4 linked regions of the Cricetulus griseus genome follow. The protein of the gene in region 1 interacts with the protein of each later gene in a biochemical or structural test. Links are inferred from orthologs where the notes say so. Each region holds a gene or a part of one and is shown in the gene's direction. Other genes may lie near its edges. The genes, in order: Irak1, Peli1, Irak4 and Irf7.

Region 1 (4,885 bases):
GAACATCTGCTATACCAGATACTGATAGTTCCTAGTACATTAAAAAGAACCAAATCCCTTCCCCTAGAGCTTAGTATATGCACACAATAATTTTGAATAGTGGAGTTAGTGCATCTCAATAATGACTGACCCATGAGAAACTACTGGAGACTCAGAATATGGTTGGCCTCTTGGGTTGTTTTGTTTCTTTGGTAAGGTCCAACTTCTAGTCCAGGCTGGAGTGGAACCGAGTGTATAGGATGATCTGCCTCAGCCTCCCAAGTGATGGAATTACAGGTGTGAGCCACCATGCCCAGCTTTGTTTTATTAATAACAAGGTCTCACTATGTAACTTTGGCTGGCCTGGAACTATTATGCATAGTAAACCAAACTGACCTTGAACTTTCAGTGATCTTCCTGCCTCTGCCTATGGAGGGCTGGGATTACAACCATGCACTACCACACCTAGTTTGACCTCATCTTAAGAGCGGCCAAAATGGCTGTGGTTTCAGAGAAGAGACCACTGTAGGAGCCAGCCATGTGCCTTGTGTAGACTTTTCTGGACACAAGTTTCTTACAGGACAGGCTAGTGAGAGGGAACCCTTTCCAGTTAGGATTGATAGACAAGAGGGTCTGTTGGAGAAACTGTAGTTAGAAGAAAGCTATTGCTTTATAAGTATGCTTTCAGCTGGAGAAACAAGAAAGGCCAACTTGCTACCCGTGGCTCTTCCTCAGGCAGTGGGAAGTTAGAAAAGTTCAGAGGTATGGAACTCCAGCAAGCTCAAGATGTGCCCAAGAGAAGAGTTAGATGGGTTTTGGGATGCTTCCCCCACAGCTTTTTTTTTTGGGGGGGTGAGGTTTCAAAACAGGGTTTCTCTGTGTAGCCTTGGCTGTTCTGGAACTCACAGAGATCCACCTGCCTATATCCCAAGTGCTGTGACTAAAGGCGTGTGTCACCACTGCCTGGCTCCCCACAGCTTTTTATGCTCAGTCTTGTCAAGAAGGGCTATAGCAGGGGTATATGCAAATAACTTCAGAGACAGAATTAGAAGTGCTTTTTAGGGTATCTAAAAAGGGTTTTTTTGGGGGGTGGTCTTGGTCTTTTTGAGGCAGGGTTTCACTTTGTATCCCTGGCTAACCTGGAACTCACTATTTAGACCAAGCTAACCTCAAATTCAGAGATCCACCACCTGCCTTTGTTTTCCAATTGCTGGGATTAAAGGTATGCACCACCAAGCCCAACATCATGGAGTTGTTAATGGCTTAAGGCTATTATTGTATATAAATTCAGGTGGGTGGGCAGAAGCTGGCCATGCCATCTGCCAAACAGCCATATAGAGCTGGGACTCTATGGGAGGGCTTTGGGAATTTTGGGAAGGTCTTCTGTAAGAAACTGATTTGGTGATCTGTGCCCAAGGAAGCCCACATGAACAGTGAGCCCTATCAGAGTCATCAAGTTCATGCAGGTAAGTGGTATTGGGTAATGCTATGAGTAGTGGACTCATGGGAAGAGGACTTCAGGGTGTCACTGACAACTGCTCTAGAAAAGAATAGGGAAAGCTGCTGGACTCTGGTGTCCTCATAAGAAGTGCAAACTAAGCCAAAAGTGACAGAAAAGGGAAAGGGATGGCAAGAACTGGACATTATGCACACGGGGACAGAGCAAGGCCCTTTTAAGAGACATGTGTTGGCTGGCAAGCTAGCGAGGAGCCTGCACGGGCAGATACTGTGAAGCTCTTAACATTTGTTGCCCAGCTGCTTGCTGGCGGGTTCCTGGAGGCAGGGTGGGGTGGGAGGGTAGGCGGTGGCGTGGTGTGCAATCTTCCAGACCATTCTCTGGGCATCCGTCCTTACTACCAGATGATTAGAGTCAGCCGTTTTGTGACCCACATTTGACCCTGTCCTACCAACATCTCAGCCGACTCTGCACTGCCTTCCAAATAAAGCTGAAAGGAGCCTCTCGGTGAGTTTTCACCAGGCTTTACATAAATCGCCTTTGTGGATCATCATGTTTTTCCTTTGCCCTTTGTCTCCAGAACTGGAAATCGTTCTTCATCCTGTTCAGTCCTATTCAGACGGCTCCCACTGCTGGAAGCCCACCCTCCGTGTAGGATCACAATCCTTGGTTCTTCGGCGTGAGGGGGGAGACACCCTGCAGCCTAGTAGAGCGCCTTTCCTAGATTGAGGGTGGCGCAGGACGCCCCCGTGTGGCCGAAGGCCGCGGAAGGCAAGATGGCGGCGGTCCTGAGCACCGCCTCTTCCGCCCTGCTGGGCGTCGCACGAGGCCGGCTAGAAGGGAAGTGAGTCAGTGTCCACGGACCCGGCCGGCTCAGGCCCCGCCCCGCCGAGGCCCCGTGAGGCCCCGGCCCGGCGGCGGCGGCGGCGGCGGCAGCGGCGGCCATGGCCGGGGGCCGGGCCCCGGGGAACCTTCGGTTCCTGGCGCCCAGCACTTCTTGTACGAGGTGCCACCCTGGGTTATGTGCCGCTTCTACAAAGTGATGGACGCCCTGGAGCCCGCCGACTGGTGCCAGTTCGGTGGGTGACGGCAGGCCGGCGTGGGGCAGGGGACCCGGGCTTCTGCTGCTAAAGCTTGACGTTCCCCGCCCCACAGCGGCCTTGATTGTACGCGACCAGACAGAACTGAGGCTGTGTGAGCGCGCCGAGCAGCGCACAGCCAGCGTCCTGTGGCCCTGGATCAACCGCAACGCGCGCGTGGCTGACCTCGTTCACATCCTCACGCACCTACAGCTGCTGCGTGCACGGGACATCATCACAGCCTGTGAGCGAGCGTGGCCCCAGGGACCCTAGGGATGGGAATTCACTGGAGGTGACGGGAACAGTCTCTCGAGATGGGACCATATGGGAACCCCTCCCTACACACACACACACACACACACACCCATATGGGAACATGGGAACCCCTCCCTACACACACACACACACACAGACACACACACACACACCCATATGGGAACCCCTCCCTACACACACACACACACACACACACACACACAAACCCATATGGGAACATGGGAACCCCTCCCTACACACACACACACACACACACACACACACACACACACACACACACACAGGAACATGGGAACCCCTCCCTACACACACACACACACACACACACACACACACACACACACACACGGGAACCCCTCCCTACACACACACACACACACACACACACACACACACAAAGAGAGAGTCAGAGACAGACCTGAGTCACAACCCTCCTTTCCTTCCTTGTTATCACAGGGCACCCTCCTGCCCCTGTTCTGCCCCCAAGCACTGCTGCTCCACGACCCAGCAGCATCTCTGCAGGCTCCCAGGCCGAGGTCTGGAGCCCAGAGAAACTGCAGTCCTCTGCCTCCACCTTCCTCTCCCCAGGTAAAAAGAAAATGGGTGTTGGGTTTGATAGGCCTGAGGAAAAGGCCACCATGACTATTGACATGGCTGTAGACTGCTGCTGGTCTCTGCCTCTCACTAGCATCTTTATGAAGCTTTTCCAGGCTCCCAGACCTATTCTGAGGCAGAGCTCCTTCCAGTTCCAATCCTGGCTTCCCTCAGGCCACCACTGCGATCTTCAGCCCCTTCCTTTGACAAGGTAAGTGTTCTTTAACCCCCAGGGAAAATTCCAGACAAGGAGGAAGAAACTCAGCCTTTGGTGAACCCACAACAGCAAGCCAGGGACTTTGCAGCCAGGATCAAAGGGAATAGGCAGGATCCTCACCTGATCCTTGGTCTCTTCCAACAGCCAAGCCCAGGGAGCCCAGAGTCTGGCCTCCAAAGGACACATACCTCCCCATTTTGCTGGCCCCTCTGTGAGATTTCCCAAGGCACCTGCAACTTCTCTGAAGAGCTGAGGATTGGAGAGGGTGGTTTTGGGTGTGTGTACCGGGCAGTAATGAGAAATACCACATATGCTGTGAAGAGACTGAAGGAGGTAGGTATAACAGTAGGGTAGTCACCTGGAAGACACAAAAGGGAAAGGAATGGCAAAAATGACATTATGCACATGGGGACAGAACAAGGCCCTATTAAGAGACATAAATGTGGAGGCAGGGGACTGTACTCAGTTCGTATTTGTCCAGTTCCTCCCTCCATCAGCCCTCACTTCTTTAGTCCCCTGCCTCCAGCCTCCCCAAGCAATTCCTTCAGTCCTCTGATTCCAGTACAGGGACCCCCAAACCTTCCATTGTTATGGGCCTGGAAACAGCTGGCAAGCTTGGCTCATGCTGCCTACTTTCCCCGCCTCTTACCCCACCATGTCTGGGGCTGCAGGAGGCTGACCTAGAGTGGACTGTGGTGAAACAGAGCTTCCTAACAGAGGTGGAGCAGCTGTCAAGGTGAGCCTTGGGGGTCCTCCTGTCTGGGGGCACAAGGAGAGAACCACACAAGGGCCTCATCAGTCTCTAGAACTGCACAGCACAAGACCTGGCTCCCTTGGGCCCTCAAGGCCTTGCCAGACCCAGGTGAGGGAACATCAAAGGCTGTTTATCCAGCCTAGCCTGATGAAAAGTAGTGGGGCCCAGAGAACTAAAGAACATGGACTGTGCCCAACGGTGGCACACGCCATTAATGCTAGCACTCGGGAGGCAGAGGCAGGTGGATCTCTGTGAGTTCAAGGCCAGCCTGGTCTACAGAGAGTTCTAGGATGGCCAGGGCTGTCACACAGAGAAACCCTTTCTTGAAAACAACAACAAAGTACTCAGACTACACTCTTTGTAACAGGTTTCGTCACCCAAATATTGTGGATTTTGCTGGCTACTGTGCAGAAAGTGGCTTCTACTGCCTTGTTTATGGCTTCCTGCCCAATGGCTCCTTGGAGGATCGACTCCATCTTCAGGTAGTTCCAGCTGGTCTCATATCTTTACTGGCCTAGCCCCTTAGCCTA
Region 2 (3,077 bases), on another chromosome or scaffold:
CAGAAATGAAAAAAAAATACCAAGGTGTATGACAAATCCTACAGCCTACATAGAGAATTCTTTTTCTGTGCTTCCTTGGGGACCCTGGAACAAAGTACCTTTGAAGTACTGTTCTTTGAAGTTTAGTTATTTGATGTCTCAATCCTTATCAGAGTAAGTGGTTGGAGGAGAGGCTTGTTGCTAAAAACAAGCACAACCAAAAGCAAAAACTGACAGCTGCTAATAACCTAATGCAAAGAGGTGGAGATCTGTTTCAGAGACTCAGAGCAAGGCTGTATCTACAGCCATCAGTGAGGATCAGTGTTTGTGTACAGCTTGGGAACACAGCAGCAGGTTAGCTTTATTTCAATGATGTTCTAGAGTTGTCATAAAAGATTTACTCACCTTCAGTGTATTCTGTTAAGGTGGGGTAGTATATGGTAGATATATTTCTACCTTAAAAGGGTTAAAGCCTAAGGCCATCTAAGAACCTCATCACATTAGAGTCTTTATTCCCTAAGGATCTTGGAAATTCCATTGTAGTTCCCACTTAATTCTATGCTCCAAGTGACTGCTGTATCAGTGTGACAGATTAGGTTTCAAAGGTGTAGATGGAGATAGTTAAGTATTGTTAAGTGTGAGATTTAGAAATTTCAGAGGCCTAATACTTTTACCGTATCTCTTTCTTAATGGATTCTACTGTGGTCTTTGAATGAAGTCATATGTTCTTTTTTTCCCCTTTAGATTGGTCGGTCAACTGAAAGTCCTATTGATTTTGTAGTAACTGACACAGTTCCTGGAAGTCAGAGTAATTCTGACACACAGTCAGTACAAAGCACTATCTCAAGATTTGCCTGTAGGATCATATGTGAGCGCAATCCCCCCTTTACAGCTCGGATTTATGCTGCAGGATTTGATTCATCAAAAAACATCTTTCTTGGGGTAAAAAGCCTTTTTTCCTAATGTATTCTTTTATACAATTTCTATTTCCAAATTGCACATAAGTAGAAACTCACTATTTTTATAGGAAAAAGCTGCCAAATGGAAGACATCTGATGGGCAGATGGATGGCTTGACCACTAATGGTGTTCTTGTGATGCATCCACGAAATGGGTTCACAGAAGACTCCAAGCCTGGAATATGGAGAGAAATATCAGTTTGTGGGAATGTGTTCAGTCTTCGAGAAACCAGATCAGCTCAACAGAGAGGAAAGATGGTAAGTACTGTGTAGCTTCTTTTTACAACAATAAACATAGGGTAAGTTGAACTGGAGAGAGAGAGAGAGAGAAGTAGAGAGAGAGAGAGAGAGAGAGAGAGAGAGAGAGAGAGAGAGAGAGAGAGATTGTCAGTTGATTGGTTTTTGCAGCTCTTAGACATATTCCTGACACACAAAAACTAAGACCATCAAACACTGACCTCCAAACACTAATTCTAGAGGATGGTGTTTGTTTCAGCTAGAAAAGGTTAAGCATCTATTTTTTTGTACATATCTTTGACTATACTTAACTAATTAAAAATAACTAAGTTTGTTGATTAGCCAGATAATTAAATCATAAGTTGTCTTTTGGCTTGAAAGACAGAAGTTGCTATTCAATGTGTTATTGTTGATTTTCAAATTTAGCATTTTTCAAACTTCTAAAATTTCTACTTCCACATTACACACAAATAGAAACTTCCTTAAGTCTAGCAGGTAATCCTGGAAGGTTCTCTGTCTTATTAGGACTCACTGAAGACCTAGTGTAAACACAATGGTAAATACGGTTTTGATTCTTTTCTCCTTCAGGTGGAAATCGAAACCAATCAGCTACAAGATGGCTCCTTAATTGACCTTTGTGGTGCAACCTTGCTTTGGCGTACTGCGGAAGGCCTTTCCCACACTCCTACTGTGAAGCACTTAGAAGCTTTAAGACAGGAAATCAATGCAGCCCGACCTCAGTGCCCTGTAGGGTTCAACACACTAGCCTTTCCCAGTATGAAGAGGAAAGACGTTGTAGATGAAAAACAACCGTGGGTATATCTAAACTGCGGCCATGTTCATGGTTATCATAACTGGGGAAACAAAGAAGAACGTGACGGAAAAGATCGTGAATGTCCTATGTGTAGGTCTGTTGGTCCCTATGTCCCTCTGTGGCTTGGATGTGAAGCTGGATTTTATGTGGACGCCGGCCCTCCCACCCATGCCTTTAGCCCTTGTGGGCACGTGTGTTCAGAAAAGACAACGGCCTATTGGTCACAGATCCCACTTCCTCATGGTACTCACACTTTTCACGCAGCCTGTCCCTTTTGTGCACATCAGTTGGCTGGTGAACAAGGCTATATCAGACTTATTTTCCAAGGACCTCTAGACTAACAGCTGTCTCTAGGACTGCATTATAAGTTTATAAGCTAAGTGAGTTGGGTATTCCAACCAGTTGTCCACGTAAGTTTCTCTGCTCTGGTCATTGCATTAAGATGAAGAATTTTTTAAATATTTATAATAGCAATTTCTGAAAAAAATCTGAGAAAATCAAGCAAAGGAAATTTTGAAAGTTCCAGACTTCTGAATTCTGAGTTTTGAAAATATATTTTGAGGAGAAAAAGACATAGTCTAATTTGATGCCTTCGTTTTAGTGTTTTGAATCACCACCCATACTCAGTGTTGAGTTGTTCTGTATAACTGAGGGTTTGTTGGTTCAAACTACGTTAGTTTACAATTTGTTGCAAACATTGTAAAATATAGCAACATGTATATTAATTTTTTTCTATTTATCTTTATCATAGAAAATACCTTAGAATGTCGTGATAGAGTAGCATGGTAATGATGGTGTCACACACTTTGGGTGTGAATGGTAGTTTAGTGGGCACATAGCTCAAGGATTTGCAAAGTTAAGGAGAAAGACAAGAGATCTTCCTTCCCCCAGGCCTGTATAAGTAGGGAATTTGATGAATTAGAGTATTTCATAAAACCAGATTCACATTAATTACCATTGTCTAAGAGGTGTTTGTTTTTTAACCACATTGAAGTTAATCGGAAAACATTTTTTTCCTTAATGTTTCTCTCAAGTGTAGTACTATAACAAAAGCTAATGCTAAGAGACATTTTATATGCTCCTTTGAAT
Region 3 (4,395 bases), on another chromosome or scaffold:
TCATCTTCATCTTAGTCTTCCAAATATGTTTCATTTATGGAAACAGCTTTACCCCACCATAATATTAAAGAACAGGGTTGTAAAAATGTGGCTACTGGCTAGAAAATAGGATTCTCCTGAGGGACCTGTGATAGTGAAAGGACCTCGAGTTCCCAGAATGCGTGTCCAGGATAACATTTTGGTATCTGTAGCCGTAGGTTTATGCAGGAAGTACTAGGTAGAGTTCCATCAACATCCATGTCCAGACCAGCGTTAGCACAAAAAGAAAGCCTTGTTTAGCGTGTTCGAGTCCCTGGGCTCAGTCCATAGTCCTTTTAATTTTTTTTTTTTTTTTTTTAAGATTTATTTACTTATGTATATAGCTTTCTGCCTGCACATATGCCTGCTGGCCAGAAGAGGGCACCAGGTCTTACTATAAATGGTGTGAGCCACCTTGTGGTTGCTGAGAATTGAACTCAGGACCTTTGGAAGAGCAGTCAATGCTATTAACCTCTGAGCCATCATCTCTCCTGCCCTCCTTTTTAATTCCTAATTGATGTCTTCAGTGTTTTGCTAATGGATCCTTTTATCTTCCTAGGTTTTATTAGAACTAATCACTGGGCTTGCAGCTGTGGATGAAAACCGTGAGCCTCAATTACTAGTAAGTAATTCATTTTTGTCAGTCTTTTCCGCTTTTGCCTTTGTGATCTTAAATTCATGTGTGTAAATATGGCTTATAGAAATGGCATTTCTGACATAAGTCTGGCTATGTGTCATGACGTAGTAAAAGTGCATGATGTGTTTACAGTCTTGGGCTTGCTAGATGTGATGTGTGCCTGAAAAGATTATTTATATATTCCTTGTTCCAATGTCTTTGTATCAAATGAGAAGAAAGCTAGTTTGCCCGTGGTTTGTTACTCTCCAGAGTGTACAGATCCTGGGTGGTGGGACCATTTTTAGGTCATAGGGAAGAAAAATCTTAGTTTTCATTCACATCCCGTAAGAATATAAATGCCAGTAAAGGCTCTCTATTTCATCGTGGAGCATTTTACTTACAAAGTTAAAGCACTTCCCTCCTGTACTGTCATTCCTACCCTTCTAATTTTTATATTGAACATTTGATTCACAGTTTATAAGTAGATGAGTTAAATGATAACTGAACTTTTGATAAATTATGCCATATACTTTAATATATGTATACATATGTCTTTACATATACCTTTATGTATATATGCATAAAATATATATGTGATACTCATCCACATAAAAACATATATGTGTGTCTTTGTATATATGTCTCTAAAAATATATATACATATATATGTCTTTCGTAAGTGTTTCTCAAAATTAGCAACTATACTCCCTTTATCCAAATTTATTCATATGCCCTAATAGAGCAAAACAGTACGAACATTCAGATAATAGATACATACTAGGTCACATCCCAGAGTTAGGAACAGAGAATCAGAAGGTGTAACTTGCTTGTTCAGTCATGATACCAGGACTGGAGAAATGGTTGGGGCAGCAGTCAAGAGCTCATACTGCTTTTCTAAAGGCCCAAGTTTAGTTTCCAGCACCCATGTTAGGTGTCTTTTTTGTTTGTTTTGAGACAGGGTTTCTCTGTGGCTTTGGAGGCTGTCCTGGAACTAGCTCTTGTAGACCAGGCTGGTCTCAAATTCACAGAGACCCGCCTGCCTCTGTCTCCCAAGCCCTGGGATTAAAGGTATGCGCCACCACCACCTGGCCCATGTTAGGTGTCTTACCGCCTGTAACCCCAGCTCCAGATCTGAGGCCTCTGATCTCCACAGACACTTGCATAGTTGTACACATACCAACATACACACACGCACACGCACACGCACACAGAGAGAGAGATAATTAAAATAGGACTTCAGAAGGACAACAAAAATCTTAGTGCCAATACTAATTTGAGTAATCTGTAGTATGTGAGATTGTTACAAATGTCCGCCACAAAACAAAAATGTCCATGGTCTGTTGGAAATGCAGTTATTAAAATAGCATATGTACTATATTTACATTGGAAGATATTTGTGAGAATATCCTAATGGTATTCAGATTTTTATAATGGCAAATCAAAAGGTAAAATTTTATGTTAACCAGAAATATAAAGTTCTCTGTCCTAGCAGTTATGGGAGGTCAAGAGAGAAGCCTGAGATGGAGTTGCCGTATTTGAGCTGTTGGTAAATGGACACAGACAAAGTTTAGGGTGGGGTTGGATTAGAAACATAGACATTAGAAATTCGGAGGCCAGGGAGATATTGAGCATGTAAAGTGCTGCCAGTGACACACTTCCTCCAGCAAGGCCACAGCTCCCAAGCCGACCCAAACAGCACCACCAATAGAAAACCAAAGGAGCCCATGGTGAACATTCCATCCAGACCACTGCACCCAAGACAACCTCTCACTTCAGATATCTTCAAAAATCATTTTTCCACATGAGGTCACATTTACAGACACCAGGAGCCAGGACGTAGACATACATACTCACATTTCTGGGGCCACCACTCAACAGACCGTTGAGCCCGAGGCACCATCTCATCCTCATTCATCCCCCAGTCCTCCTTTCTCTTTGATTTACCAGCCTGAGTTCCTGTGGGTAAGGACATGGTGTCTGGGTCCAGAAGGTGAAATTGCATTTTCAAAAATGATCACGAAGCTGATGACTCTGAACTGGCGAATGCTGCAACAGAAATTCGAGCAGCTAGCTCATCACAGAAAGACAAGGATTATAAAGCATATGGGTAGGAGTAAATGGGAATAAGAGTAGTAAATCAGTAATGTGTGCATGTGTGTAATTTCCTTATCTACCATTTGTCCGGTGTGGCCTCAAGTCCTAAGGAGGTTATAAAAAATGGTAAGGAAAGAGTTCAGGTCATTTCAAAAATAGACGAATTTAAGTAATTTAAATTTATACTCTGATTTCTTTCGTATTGAAGCTTTTAACCAAGGTCTAATGCCCATTTTATAGCTGGATATTAAAGACGAGATTGAAGATGAAGAGAAGACGATTGAAGATTACACCGATGAGAAGATGAATGATACTGACCCTGCTTCTGTTGAAGCGATGTATGCTGCAGCTAGTCAGTGTCTGCATGAAAAGAAAAATAAGAGGCCAGACATTACGAAGGTACTACTTTTATATCCATACACACACCTGGAGGGGTCGTTACCCTTTACTAAGTATACATTTCAAGGCATCGGTGTAATGTTCTTTTGTTCTTTCTTTTTGAAAGGTTCAACAGCTGCTACAAGAGATATCTGCTTAAAACTAATGAAATAGACTTCATATATATATGTATATATGTATGTATGTATGTATATGTACATACAGGGACACACACAGCGCTATAAGCACTTCCCTCCTCACATACCCCCCTTTTATTTTTACTTCTTGTGATCATGGAGACTGAACAAGCACTTCGTCACTGAGCTACATCATCAGCCTGTTTTTTGCTTGGTTTGGTTTCTTAAATTTCTTTATCTTTAACAAGGCAGCGTGGCACAGTGTATACTGGCGAATTAATGGATGTGTCCACACACTGCAAAAGTGAGAGTAGTGTGGCACCACTTGGCCCACCTACTTTGTATGGAGCTCGTTTCCATGGCAACATCACCAAACTACAGCAACTACAAGATTCAGGAAAACAGCACTCCACTGTAGAGTTTTAGGGGTTTGTTGTTGTTGTTGGTTTCTGTGTAGCCCTAGACGTCCTGGAACTCTCTTTCTCTGGAGACTAGGCTGGCCTTCAACTCTGCCTCTGCCTCTGCCTCCCAGAGGACTAGAATTAAAGCCCCGTGCCACCACCATCCAGCCAGAGACTCTGGTTTGAACTCAGCAGGTTCCACTAATCTCCTGTAAAGCTCTGGTCCAGCTCTTAGCTACCCTAAGCCCTCAGTTTTTGGCTTTTTTGTTGTTGTTGTTAATGAACTCTGTGGTCCTATAAATAACTCTTCCTAAACTTCTGTAAGTATTCCCCAACACTGTTCCTGTAATCCTAATTAAACTCATTGGGTCATCAAGGTAGACAGGGGTGGACTTAATTGTTCAGTCTGTCATTGGTGTCCTAATTTGAATGAATAGATGTTCACTTGTCTCTCCTAAGAAAAATTCACACTGTTGGTACTTTTATGTGGGGCAATGTAGAACCAATGATGAGCTTAGAGGTGTTACTTGTATTGCTGTGGGCAATATGACAGCAACTGGAGCTAAGCTATCTGAGGGTAGAGCACCCAAGGGGGGCCATCCTGATGTCATCCTTTCCCATGTGACAGTAATGGCAGGCTCTCTTGCTCTACTGGGTGGTTTTGTGTGTCAACTTGACACAAGCTAGTGTCATCAGAGAGGAAGGATCCTCAGTTGAGGAAATGCCTCCATGAGATCCAGCTGTAAGGCAT
Region 4 (5,027 bases), on another chromosome or scaffold:
TCATGCCCCCTCTTTTGGAGCGGGACTATCCCGATACCCCACCCCCACCCCACCCCCACCTTCCACGCCCCGGCCCCCCCCCGCTCCCCCAGCTCCGTCCCTCTGCCCCCCTCCCCATCCAAGCGCGGGAGGGAGGGAGCCCGGGGAGTAAAACACCTGCTGTGAGCGCCCAGCTGCGCGCTTCCGGATGCCCTCTCTCCCACGGTAGCAGGCGGGGAAGAGGGAAGTCCTCGCTGGAGATCTTCAGCGCTTGGCCCAACGTGGACAGCTTCCCTTGAGCGAAGTGAAAGAAACAGAACCGCCCACGCCACATACACGTTCATTTGGGAGAGGGTGGTCTCTGGGACCTTCCTGAGGGTCACAACCTGGTTCAAAAGTCTGGCACATGCATTTAAAGTCAGCATTCGGGTAGCAGAGGCAGGGGGATCTCTGTGAACTTGAGGCCAGCCGGGTCTACAAGAGTGAGTTCCAGGGCAGTCAAGGCTTTGTAGAGAAAACCTTTCTCAAAAAAACAAAACGAACCCAAACCAATAAAAAGGCTGTTCAGGCAATGAACAATGCACTCTGCCCGACACAGAAACTTCGCCTATGAGAAACAGGGGCCTGCAGGTCATGTCAGTAGACGGAGGTTACACACGGCTCTCTGGGGCTGTTTGGGGGGGGGGGTAACATCATAATCTGGGTTCTTCCAGCAGAGCAGTCATGACATATTTCCTAATGAAAAATCAACCCGAATATCTTTCCAGAAGTTTCTATTTCTTAACAGTATTTGAATATTTAAAAAAAATGACAGCTTTATCCGTTTATACAATGTATTTTTTGGTTTCATTTAAACTGGTGGTTTTCATGGCCCATTTCCTTCTCTCAGCGCCCCCCCCCTGCCGCCCCGTTGGAAACCTTCTCAACAAGTCTCCCCCTACTCTCATCTTTTCTGAGCAGCCCTCTGAGTTTAATTACTTTCTCCATCCAGCTAGAACAAGGACAAATTACCACCGGATAAACGACACCCCCTACCTTAAAGGTTGCCACTAGTGGGGGAGGGGCCTGGGCCCATCCCATATCCATGATGAACTGTTAATGAGACCAATCTTATGGAGGTCCTGTGTGGATAGCTGCAGTGAGCTCATGACAGCAATGGCTATGTCATGCTCAGAAGACATCTCCTTTTGCACATCTCTCCATCCTCTGGCCCTTTCTACCCTCTTTTGGGAGATGCCTTGGAGGGGGTGGTAGAGATGTCTCCTTCGGGATGAACACTCCACCATCACTTATTCTCTGCTCTTGGGCCAGTTACAGGATTCTGCTCATTGCAATTAGAAGCTTCTGTAATGAAGGCTGGATGCAACACTAATCTGTAGTTATATTTTACATTTTGAGACAGGATCTTACTCTTTAACCCAGAAGGATTGGTCCTGAGATGGTATTACAAGTATCGGCTTTGGAATATTCTTCTTTTGTGTGTGTGTGTGTGTGTGTGTGTGTGTGTGTGTGTGTGTGTGTGTGTGTGTTTGGTTTTTTGAGACAGGGTATCACTGTGTAGCTTTGTAGAACAAGCTGTTCTCGAACTCAGAGATTCCGCCTGCCTCTGCCTATCAAGTGCTGGAATTAAAGGCGTGCGCCACCACCCGCTGAAATATTCTTACTTGTATCATTCTCAATGTGAAGCCGCTCTTTAGACTACACTTCCCAATACTTTACTGAGAGTTAAACAAAACAAAAGCTGCTGACTTTGTTTGAGATACCCCGCCTTCTCCTGCCGTGTTTTCCTGAGGAGGTTTAGAGGGAAAGACTTTTCCCACTCTCCCACCTGGGCAGCCAGGCGGGTAGACTAGGCTGCCACTCCTCCCACTGAACCTCCGAGGCTTGGCGGTGCTGTCCAAAGCAGGGTCAGCCTTTCTCACTGAATCTATGAAGGACTTGGGCGACTGTGATTCTGAGAGTGGAGTGCCCCCGGCACGTGATACCCCAATGGCGTCAGGAGCCCTTAGGCCACACCCAGCTGCACTCCGCCCCGCCCCTGACCCGGGTCCTATAAAAGTACTGGCCGCGTCCTTCTCACTGAGATAAAACCGTCCCGGCGGCTCCGGCACCAGGTATGCGGGACCCTTAGCCCACGCAGGGAGGGAGCGAGCTTGTGCCACAGGAGGGGGCATTCTTGTCCTCTCCACGGAGTAGGGAACGATCGAGGAAGGGAAGTGTAGAGGATCAGGGACACAGGAGGGCAGAGGGCCCGGCGGGATCTGCCATCAGAAGATCTGCAGGTGGGGTTGGGATCTGTATAAGGATAGGGTGGAGGTCGAGGACTGCGGCACCCGTAGCCATTGAGACACAGGGAAGCCCGCGGCTGCCCGAGAGCTGTTCGGGCTATTTAGGTTTCATTTTCCCGGGATGCAGTTTCGCTTTACTCGCTTGGGCCCGCCCCTTTTTCCATCCTGTCTTTGCAGGGTCCAGCCTGCGACAGCTGATCCAGGCTTGGACGCTGGATCAACACCTGTGACTTCACGTGTGCGTTCCCGCTACATCTGTAGTCACATCTATAGCCACCCTGGCAAGAGGAATCCACACTTAGGTTTGGAACCTAGGTGGCTACAAGTTCTCAAACCTCATCTGTGACCCTCAGTACCCTACACCTGGGTCACATTTGTGACACTTAAATTTCCACCTGAGACCAACAAACATAATCACATTTGTGACACTGGGCCACACTATCTGTGGCTACACCCTGAAACTTTAGTGACACCCAAGGGACTCTTACCTCCTGATTGCTCCAGTGACAACAACACATCACAGAGTAGGACCTACTCTTGATTCTTCCAAGGGAGCAATGGCCACAGAGAGGTGAGAACATGCCCACCCAGGTTGTGTCAGTTCCTGTATGCCTTGCCCTTGGTCCTGGTCATAGCGTTGCTGCCCTGCTTGCAGGGGGCCCCAGCGCATGCTCTTCGGAGAGTGGCTACTGGGTGAGGTCAGTAGCGGCCAGTATGAGGGCCTTCGGTGGCTGGACGACGCTCACACAGTCTTCCGTGTGCCCTGGAAGCATTTTGGTCGCAGGGATCTGGATGAAGCTGATGCACGTATCTTCAAGGTGGTATCCAATCCAGCCCGCTATACAAATCTGCCGCAACTCCCAGGGAATCCATCCTCAATCCATGTTCTCTGTCCTCTCCTTCAGGCCTGGGCTGTGGCCAGAGGAAGGTGGCCACCTAGTGGAGGTAACCTGCCACCCCCAGAAGCTGAGGCTGCTGAGCGAGCAGGCTGGAAAACCAACTTCCGCTGTGCACTCCACAGCACAGGGCGCTTTATCTTGCATCAAGACAATTCAGGGGACCCTGTTGACCCCCACAAGGTGTATAGACTTAACCCGGAGCTTGGATGCACTGGTAAGGGGTGCCATAAATAGGAATGGGTCAAGGAGGTACATGGACTGTTGTCTTGGTGGCTTCCTGGCTGGATTTGTGGTTTTTAAAACTGGTTGGGTAAAGGTTTGATTGTACTCCCAGTTGCTCTCTTTCTAAGGTGTATGGGGTTGGGGTGCAGCACGTTTCCTCCCGAATCAGAGCCTTGGGCTGAGTAAGCTCAGCCCAAGGGTACAGGGAAGAGAACTTTTGGAACTACTCAAGCATCATAACTAGGTTGCAGGTCAGTCTCAGATCCAAATTCCCCCTCTCCTTCAGAAGGCCCCGCCATGGAAAATAGGGAAGAAGAGACCCTCAGCAATGCCTTACCTACACAGGTACAGTCTAATTGGCTCTTCCTAAGTGGGAGGGATGAACAGCTGCCTACCTACCACTATGCTTTTCCTTACAGGGTGTGTCCTTGGGACCATTCTCTGCAAGAGGAAATGCTGGGCTCCAAACCCCAAGCCCTCTGCTTTCTGGTGATGCTGGGGACCTCTTGCTTCAGGTTCTGCAGTACAGCCTCCTGGATAACCACCTACTGGGATCTGACTCAGTCCCATCACAGGATCCTGGTGAGTGTCGGCAAGAACGGTTACTGAGCTGGGGCTAAACTAGAGAACCCCCACCTGCCCCAGGCTGTATGAGAGTCCTTGGGGACAGGAGGAAAGATAAGGATGCCAGCATGACAGGAGTGGGGAAGCTAGCACACCACGATGGGCAAGATGGACAGGCAGCTTCAATTTGTCCTCAGGCCAGGAGCAGGAACATGCTTCTGAGGATCCTCATGCAACATGGCAGGTGGAAGCTGTCCCCAGCCCGAGGCTTCAACACCCAGCTCTGATAAGCGGTAAGGACTTGTGAACCTGTTGGTGTGGGATAGAGCTGTGGTGCTAGCACAGGTCTTCCCCAGCACACATCTATTACCCTCCACCCCCCCCCCCGCCCCCCCCCCGCAGAGCACTGCATCACTCACTCACCCCTCATGTAACCTCCAGTGGGAGGTGAAAGGGTCCTAGGGGGTGGGACAAAGTGCCCCACCCATACCCACCACTCATAGCTTGGTCTGTACACAGAGCGCAATCTAGGGTACCTGGATGTGACCATCATGTACAAGGGCCGCACAGTGCTACAGGCAATGGTGGGGCACCCCAGGTGCGTGTTCCTGTACAGCCCCATGAGCTCAGCGATAAGAACCTCAGAGCCCCAGCCAGTGATTTTTCCCAGCCCTGCTGAGCTCCCGGATCAGAAGCAGCTGCATTACACAGAAACACTTCTACAGCATGTGTCTCCAGGCCTTCAGCTGGAGGTGCAGGGGCTGTCACTGTGGGCCCTGCGCATGGGCAAGTGCAAGGTGTACTGGGAGGTGGGCAGCCCCATGGGCTCCACCAGTTCCTCCACTCCAGCCCAGCTCTTGGAGCGCAACTGCCCTACCCCAATCTTCAACTTCAGCACTTTCTTCCAAGGTCAGTGAGGTGCCTGTTAGGGGTGCTGTCCTTGTGGGTCCCTGGGCCTTCTCTTAACTGCTCACCAGAGATACCTCCTAATAGAAGTGGAAGAGTTTCAGGCCCGGAGGCGACAAGGATCACCACACTACACCATCTACCTGGGTTTTGGGCAAGACTTGTCAGC

Evidence for each region.
Region 2: of the proteins of Irak1 (region 1) and Peli1, one has a biochemical effect on the other in vitro, tested with the Homo sapiens proteins (5 studies listed by BioGRID and IntAct, with this or other methods). The link is inferred for Cricetulus griseus from reciprocal best matches to the Homo sapiens genes IRAK1 and PELI1.
Region 3: of the proteins of Irak1 (region 1) and Irak4, one has a biochemical effect on the other in vitro, tested with the Homo sapiens proteins (2 studies listed by BioGRID). The link is inferred for Cricetulus griseus from reciprocal best matches to the Homo sapiens genes IRAK1 and IRAK4.
Region 4: the proteins of Irak1 (region 1) and Irf7 form a complex in vitro, tested with the Homo sapiens proteins (2 studies listed by BioGRID, with this or other methods). The link is inferred for Cricetulus griseus from reciprocal best matches to the Homo sapiens genes IRAK1 and IRF7.

Annotation. Positions count from the first base shown.
Region 1 is NC_048604.1:1,719,565-1,724,449, forward strand, and holds the start of Irak1 (interleukin-1 receptor-associated kinase 1), read left to right. Parts: upstream 1-1,405; coding exon 1,406-1,445; intron 1,446-2,015; coding exon 2,016-2,114; intron 2,115-2,175; coding exon 2,176-2,514; intron 2,515-2,590; coding exon 2,591-2,758; intron 2,759-3,246; coding exon 3,247-3,378; intron 3,379-3,491; coding exon 3,492-3,595; intron 3,596-3,745; coding exon 3,746-3,934; intron 3,935-4,272; coding exon 4,273-4,337; intron 4,338-4,722; coding exon 4,723-4,837; intron 4,838-4,885.
Region 2 is NW_023276807.1:85,381,303-85,384,379, reverse strand, and holds part of Peli1 (E3 ubiquitin-protein ligase pellino homolog 1), read left to right. Parts: intron 1-723; coding exon 724-921; intron 922-1,006; coding exon 1,007-1,195; intron 1,196-1,762; coding exon 1,763-2,329; 3' UTR 2,330-3,077. UniProt on the Homo sapiens protein: E3 ubiquitin ligase catalyzing the covalent attachment of ubiquitin moieties onto substrate proteins. Involved in the TLR and IL-1 signaling pathways via interaction with the complex containing IRAK kinases and TRAF6.
Region 3 is NC_048595.1:391,050,664-391,055,058, forward strand, and holds the end of Irak4 (interleukin-1 receptor-associated kinase 4), read left to right. Parts: intron 1-577; coding exon 578-640; intron 641-2,968; coding exon 2,969-3,127; intron 3,128-3,233; coding exon 3,234-3,266; 3' UTR 3,267-4,078; downstream 4,079-4,395.
Region 4 is NC_048596.1:59,918,932-59,923,958, forward strand, and holds the start of Irf7 (interferon regulatory factor 7), read left to right. Parts: upstream 1-1,977; 5' UTR 1,978-2,093; intron 2,094-2,444; 5' UTR 2,445-2,824; coding exon 2,825-2,838; intron 2,839-2,922; coding exon 2,923-3,085; intron 3,086-3,172; coding exon 3,173-3,380; intron 3,381-3,674; coding exon 3,675-3,733; intron 3,734-3,807; coding exon 3,808-3,970; intron 3,971-4,149; coding exon 4,150-4,245; intron 4,246-4,471; coding exon 4,472-4,861; intron 4,862-4,945; coding exon 4,946-5,027.